Callithrix jacchus: one gene and its partner. The protein of the gene in region 2 interacts with the protein of the main gene of each other region in a pairwise test. Links are inferred from orthologs where the notes say so. Each region holds a gene or a part of one and is shown on either strand. Other genes may lie near its edges. The genes, in order: FABP3 and SHTN1.

Region 1 (4,615 bases), on a different chromosome or scaffold from region 2:
AAATAAAAATAAAATAATAAGGCTGAGAAACGTAGACTTGGCCTCCCAAAGCCTTAGGAGTAATAAGAGTTTTCCACCTTTGGAAGTTTTTACCCTGAAACTAAGAAGCATTAAATGTGCTCTTGTCCCTTATATATGGCAACCCAACATTTTCAAAGCCTGTTATCTATGATCTAGGAGTTAGATACAAAGGAAGTATTTGTCCTCTTGCACAGATTGAGGAGGGTCTAAAGCGGTAGCAACAATGAATTAGACTCTGCTGGGCATGGTGGCTCATGCCTGTAATCCCAGCACTTTGGGAGGCCAAGGTAGATGGATCGCCTGAGGTTGGGAGTTTGAGACCAGCCTGACCAACATGGAGAAACCCATCTCTACTAAAAATACAAAATTAGCCAGGCGTGGTGGCGCACGCCTGTAATCCCAACTACTCGGGAGGCTGAGGCAGGAGAATCACTTGAACCCAAGAGGCAGAGGTTGCAGTGAGCTGAGATCATGCCATTGCACTCCAGCCTGGGCAACCAGAGTGAAACTCCATCTCAAAACCAAAACAAAACAAAACAGTGAGTGAGATTCAAACCCAAGTCTCCTGACTCCTAGTCTAAGGCTCTACAGAGACTATCTTCCTGACCCAAGCATGGCTTCCTTGGGTACGAGGCAAGTCCTACGTGTCCTGCAAGCAAGTAAAGAACAAAGAACTAATCATGACTGCCCCTTCTCCCCCCAGCAGCTTATGCTGAGCTGTCCTCCAAGGCAATGGTGAGGCAGGAGGCAGTCCAGTGTAGTGAAGTGGTGTGTATAGTCTCCAAATGTGCCTGGCTGCATAGTGCTTACTGGAGCTAGGTACTCTGCACATGCCCTACATGAGTTGTACTTAATGCTTGTAACAGCCCTGAAGCTTAGATTATCCCCAATTTACAATAGAGAGTGAAGTGTCTCCTCGAAATTCAAACGGAGTAAACTACTGACGGATTTGAATCTAGGCTCCAAAACGGCTCACTGTTTCCACTAGGCCATTCTGCCCAGCACATACTCAATCCAGGCCACCAGTTGTGCCGGTGGTCACTGGTACTAGATGGGACCTCTTTGCCCCTTGAGAGCCCTAGGTCTACAGCAGGAGGGGCAGGGGCTATGCTGTCAGCCTACCCTTGCCTGGCCAGTGAGGAACTTGGCCTTGCCCCTTGGTGTCAGGAAGTCAGGCCAATGACACTCCCATGCACAGAGCAGGACTGTTTGCTTAGGACCTACCCAGAGGTATAGAGTGTCTGAAGAGGAAACCACTGTGGGATAAGTGAGGGTCTGAACCAAGAGAAATTAAGAATATTGAGCTGACAGAATTTAGGAGACTCAGAGATCTGGGTTCTACTTAGAAATGAAGCCAGTGCTATTTACTGAGAGCTGAGGAGGGTCTTTTCCCAGGCTTCCTGTTCCTATGAAAAAGCAGGCTGCCTTAGCATAAGCTGCTGAAAAATAACAGGTCTTTAGGGAGATCGCTCCCCACCCACCCAACTTGGGGCGGAATAAGGGAACAACAGTGGTAAAGTTGTTTCAGCTCAGTCCAGGGACTCGACTCTGGCCTAGCTTTGGAAGGAGGAACTAAGTCTGGGCATTCCAACTTCCCAATAGCTGCTGGGGTGTGTTAGTGGGGGTTGGGGGGCTGTTCCTCTAAGAATGACTGCCTACCTGGAATTACTGGGCATAGCGCCCAGGGTAGACTAGGGGCCGTTAAGAGCTTTGACCTCTCCATCAGACCAAAGCAGTAGAAGAAGGGCTGAGGTCAATCATTAGCTAAGCAGTTCCTACTTTGCTTCCCACTCCCAGGGCCTATAGGGTAGTGGAAAGAGCTCTGGGTAACAGATCTAGAAACCTTAGGTTTTCATATCAGCTCTGCTGTGGAATTGTTATAATACATTTCTACTCTCCTGGTTTCAATTTCCCTGTTGAACCAGACGGTATGGGAATCTCCAAGTTCCTCACCTGTAAGATTCTTTGAATCCTTTTTCTTAACCATCTCAACACCACAGCAGTTCTTCACAGCCTCCTAAACCAGTCAACCTCCCTCCCAGGTCTTGACCTTGCTCTGACACCCTCTACTGCACAGTAGAAGTCCAATGGCTTTCTCTGCCTACCCTTTGCACAGGTGGGTGAGCCTTGGGTTGCAGGAAAGGCCCAGCTGATGATGGGCCTCTTGCCCCACCCTACCACGAGGCTCACAGACAGTGATTAAGGCCTGGTTACATATCACCGCAGGACAAGGTCAGACTAGCTTGGGAGAAAGAGCATTTTCAGCAACAATCCCCTTCCCTAATCCAACATGGAGAGATGGGGATTGCTGCTTACTGAAGGTCCCTGTCTTACCTCATCCTCATATCTGATTCACTGATACACGTTTTTTCCCCACCGATCTTCCTCCTAGGTATTTCCTACTTGTTTAAGGTCATAGTACACTCCCTAGCTGCCCCATTCCCTTTCTGGGTTCAGTCTCCTCCAATTTCTAAACTACCCATGCCCCGTTCTTTCTCTTCCTTGACTAGACTCCCCTTCCTGTGATCAGTGTTCTTTATCCAAACCCTCCTCCTACCTCCAAATCATATATCTGTCTTCCTGGAAAGAGCCTCCCACACAGCTGCCTCCTTCCTCCACCTCCCTACCATGGTCTCTAACCAGATTTGGACCATGAAATCCCCTTCCGAACAGGCTCTACCTGCCCTAGCCCAGGCCGCCATTCCGCGTTCCCCTATTCCCCAGTCTTAACCAAGAGGGATGCAGCAGGAGCCCTGCGTGGTGCTAGGGATGCCACCAGCCCCTCCCCAAGCCAGCATCCAGAGCCCCGCGGCTTGCTCACCGAGTGACTTCATGTAGTCATCGAAATTCTTGCTGTCCACTAGCTTCCAGGTGCCCAGGAAAGCGTCCACCATAGTGATGCTGGGCTAGGCTGAGACAAGCTGCGAGAGAGCAGGCGTGCAAAGATTCGGACGGCGGCTCCGTGCCCGGGCTGCTGCTTTAAATAGCCCTCGCATCACATGAGACGTGGCCCACGCCCCCGGCTCCCGAAATAGGAAGCCCCAGGCTAGGGCTCACCCAGGAGGGGCTGGTCCGCCATCCCCCAACCCGCCGAGGTGGGAGGGGACCAGTCAGTGGCGCCCTGCTTGCCTGCGTCAGCGCCAGTGCCTGGCCCCCTAGTCTCTACCCCAGGCTGGCAGGACCATCTCCCTTTCCTGGCCTCTAGGCACTCTGGAATCCGAGAAGGAAGCAGCCGGCACCGGCCGGAGAGCTGGGGCGCATGCCATGGATATCTTCCGTAGCCCAGTCCCTCTTTGAGCTTGGGGTCAGAGCAGAGATGAGACTAGAAAAGGAAAACTCGACCTTGGGCTGGTGCCCACGCCGGGAAAAACTCTGGTTGACTTCTGGCGCAGGCATCCGTCCTCGTTTTACAAGTGAGGAGCCCGCGGCTCAGCGGGGAACTGGCAAGGTCTCAAGAAATAGCGGGTGAATGGATCTTCAGATTGCAAGCTTAGCCTAGCAAGGCCGCGCTGTCCCTTCACTCCCACTGCCTGGTGGCGGAAACAATTACCAGGGGCTCCGTTTGCGGCTGAGCTGACCTTGTCTTCTGCCTGTTTTGTGCGAAAGCCTGACCTTTCGCATCTGCGCCCGCCTGCTCACACGTGCTTGCCCCTCCCTGCAGAATGTTTCATGCTGGCCCTCCTCCCGCCCCGCCCCACCCCACCCCACCCCACCCCATCCTACCATCCAACTCCCCACCCGCCCCTGCAAGTGCTTCGGGCTTTTCCAGTCTATCCGCACAGCTCCAAGTTTTAGCTCAGTTCCTTCCCAGCTCACCCTCCTTCAGAAATTCTGCCAATTCGGTCAGCTCTTCAAGGCCCACTGCTGCCTTCCCCACCTGCTGCCTTCCCTGACCTGTTCACACTAGCAAGTCTCTGCACTTTGGGTACTTTGCTGCCTCCTTTCCAGAGCCTGTTGTGCAGTGGTTTGACACTGTATAGTTCACTAAGCACTTTGAGTGGATGTAAGACCTGCCTTGTATTGATATTTATTGCATGCTGAGGGCTTTAGGTATATTGTTTCATTGGAATTTTCATTTTTTTATTATTTTTTAGAGACAAGGTCTCTCAATGTGTCTCCCAGCCTGGAGTACTGTGATGCCATCACAGCTCACTGCAGCCTCAAACTCCAGGGCTCAAGGGATCCTCCCACCTTAGCTTCCCAAGAAGCTGGGACTGTAGGCACACACCACCAAGCCTGGCCTCATTGAACTTTTAAAACAAAATCCATGAAATAGGTGTTACTATATTATCTTGTCTTTTTAAATAGATGAACAAGCTGAAGCTCTGAGTTCACTTATTAATTCAGCAGTTATTAAAGTACCTACTTTGTACCAGGCCCTGCTTTGAAGAGAGACAACAGGGAACGAAACACATACTCACCTCTGGGCAGCCAAACACAAAACTAATGTGACTTTAACGGGGGTCCAGTCCTGTCCTGACCTGAGGCTCAGTGTAGGCTTCTCAGAGGAAGTGAGGTATAAATTAGTTTCTGAGTGATGGCAGGAGGCCCAGCACATGAAGGAGTAGTGCGGAACTGAACTTCAGCCAGCAGC
Region 2 (3,077 bases):
GTACCTTTATCTCTTTGCCTCACTCTAGCTATAAAATGCATTAGCATTAATTAAAAAAACACCTCTGTAGCCCACAAGACTTAATTTATCTTTCCCAAACAGAAGGAAGCATAAATAACCTTTTAGAGAAATCAAACATCAAGATGCAGTCTCTTCCAACTTAAAATCGTGTACACAGGTTGCATGTAAGTTTTGTGTGTGCAACAGCTATGAACATACTTTGCAGATATAAGCATAGTTCTCCTATGTCTTCCTATCTGGAATACCTTGCTTTGGTTGACAATGTCACCCCAGCCAGGGGCAAAAACCCCTCAAAATCCAAGTGAAAAGGGAAAAACTCTAGGCAGAAAAGGTGAGTGACAATCTTACATCAAATACTTTATGTCAAATTAATTTAAAATTCTTTGTAATCACAGTAGGAGAAACAAAGCAGCTTAAAAAACGTAAAAACACTCTCAAAATACCTGATACGAACTGTTCCCTAGTCCAGCTAGCACATTTCACCAAAAGGGCAACTTCTTACTCCAGAAAGGAAGGTGTTTGGATAACCATATTATTGTGTTGATGGTGTGATGAAATATGGAAAGACAGTGTACACATATTTATATTCTTAAATGTGTGTGAGTTGCATACTGGCAGACGGATCACAGATGCAAGAAGGAAGACAGCACAAAGAAACATGAAAGAAAACGCAAACCATCTAAGGGACTATTAAAAGTTACTAAAGTTGTCAACTTGTATACAGTTTTCTATTAAAGAACGTCAAGCTTCGGGAGCTAAGCCAAAAATGTTGATAATAACTACAATTGACCCTTAATGGGAAACTGTTGGTGCCTTTTTAATAAGTTGTGGTGAGGAGAGTTCATATTACAGCATAACAGAATTCGCTTAGTGAATTAATGCAGTCTGTAGTTAGCATATCATATAGCAGTATTGTCCAGTCAAGGAAAGATACAGTTGAAAAACATTACATTTTAAGTCTCCATGAGTAAAGTGATAAGTAACTGTAAACTCATCATTGGGAGAACATGGAAATAGTCAAGCATAATGAAATTACAGAAAGATAATTATCTCCAAATTTAGGAAGTACATGTACCTGCCTACCCACCTCTTCAAGCCTATGCTTACCACACGTGCAAAAATACAATACAATACAACTACTGCAATTATTACTATCATTTTCTTTTGCCCTTAGGTGAAAAACACCTGAAAGCTACATGCTGAGCCATGCTAACAAAACTAAACCTTTCACTTTCTTTAATAGTAAAATTACCATTACTGAATCATTGTCATAAAAAGTGCATTTAAGTACATTACCACTTATTTTAAATAAACACCAATTTTGAAACAATCAACTTTGAAAAGCTGCATAAGTTTTTTTTTAAATCCTTGATTACATTTCTATTTATTCATTGTGGTAGCCTGAAACATTGTATTCTTAGAGACTAACTACTGCTTAATTTCTTTTTTTAAAAAAACAACAAACCTGTGTAATATAGAACAGCAGTGAAGCAAGAAAAATGTGTGCTTGTCACTTATCTTCACTGTACATAAGAACTGTGATAAAATACGGTACTTGTGCCACATTAGTATATGGGAAAACATAATTAACTCATAGCACAGAGCACTTGGTTTACCAGCGTATTACTGTTAAATTCAAGGTTTAGACTTCCACCTCAATTCTGTATTCAGGCTACCAGAGCATCCCCTCGGAGGTCCTTGGGAGGCTTTGGACACAATCAATATCATGTATTTTTCATCCAATAGTTAACAATGTGTGTAATTAACACTGACTATGGGACTATGAGTTTGATGCCAGCTCCTGAGTTTTAAGTTTATCTCAGTCTACCATAGAAAATAACTTGTATGCCACAGTACCCAACGATTTCCATGCTGCTGCAGTTTCTCCATCAAGAGGATCAGACCCAAAACAGAAGCTTCTTGGGGGGGGCTTTTAAAATCGTATTAGGTTGATCAGTTTTGTTTATCAAATTATCCACAAGCACCTCAAACTTTCATCATTCCATTTGATGAGTGGTATGCACATTTCCTAAAAAGGTATCAACATCTGAATTTTTTTGTAATCTTCTAAAGGAAGTCATACTTAATACAGCAACTAGGAAAAGAAAATCTCATCTTTATAAAGATCAAAAAACCAAAACCTACTAGGAACGTGTATTTTGCTAAACAGCTTACTTATGTTTATAGTTGCTACTTACAAAAGTGACACCAGAAAAGAACCTGTGTTCTGAATACAGTGACCAGAGCAGAATGTCTATGGCCCTTGCCAATACACCCACACTAGTCGTGTGCTTATTGAAAAGGACTTCCAAACATGTCAGGCTTCTGGTTTATGGATTAGCAGTTGGAGCTGTCTGTCTCTCTCACGTTTTCAATGCTGTCTTCTTTGTTTTCTGGTTTAATTTCGCCTTCATCCTTCTTGTGTTGAGTTGGATCTTTTTCAGCAACCTGGTCTTTGGTTTGGGGTTCATGTGTAGAAACAGGATCTAAAACTACAACTGGTTCGGCTTGTTTTTCACCATCAAAGTATTTTTTCCTGCATCCAATGCTACTGGGAGGCCTATGAGATGAAGAGTTAGACAAAAATAAAAAATAAAAATAAAAAGCAGAGAGAGAAAATAGTTGTCTCTGATATTCTGTATTCAGAACAACATAAAACCCAAAATGTTCTAAGTCTAATCAACATGCATACAGTCATCTTTGAGATGCCAGCCATTTAAAAGAAAACATGAAGCTATCGGATTACACAGCTGATATTAGGAGCACAAGGCCAGAAGGAAGAAGGCAGAGAAAGAGCGATTAACTAACTACCAAAGTATAAGAAAGCCAAACGCACCTACCTGCTTAATTGCATGCTCTTCTCAGGAAGCGTAAAGCTCATGGACAAACTGTGAACTTCTCCTCATGGCCTGCTGCCCAGACTCCCGCCCACCCTCACTTAGCTGGAAGGAGTCAGTTAACTCCCTTCCCTCCTACGTGTTCCTGGGTATGGCTGGTTGCAGGGCATCCCTGAGGAGCCTGCATGGACGAGGGGAAGTAATTACCCCTGATCACTG

The links.
Region 1: the proteins of SHTN1 (region 2) and FABP3 interact in binary tests that used the Homo sapiens proteins (3 or more experiments, as listed by UniProt). The two-hybrid records come from large-scale screens. The link is inferred for Callithrix jacchus from reciprocal best matches to the Homo sapiens genes SHTN1 and FABP3.

Annotation. Positions count from the first base shown.
Region 1 is NC_133508.1:68,013,186-68,017,800, forward strand, and holds the start of FABP3 (fatty acid-binding protein, heart), read right to left. Parts: upstream 2,978-4,615; 5' UTR 2,916-2,977; coding exon 2,843-2,915; exon of another isoform or gene 1-2,842. UniProt on the Homo sapiens protein: FABPs are thought to play a role in the intracellular transport of long-chain fatty acids and their acyl-CoA esters.
Region 2 is NC_133513.1:109,830,123-109,833,199, forward strand, and holds the end of SHTN1 (shootin-1), read right to left. Parts: intron 2,582-3,077; coding exon 2,359-2,581; 3' UTR 814-2,358; downstream 1-813. UniProt on the Homo sapiens protein: Involved in the generation of internal asymmetric signals required for neuronal polarization and neurite outgrowth.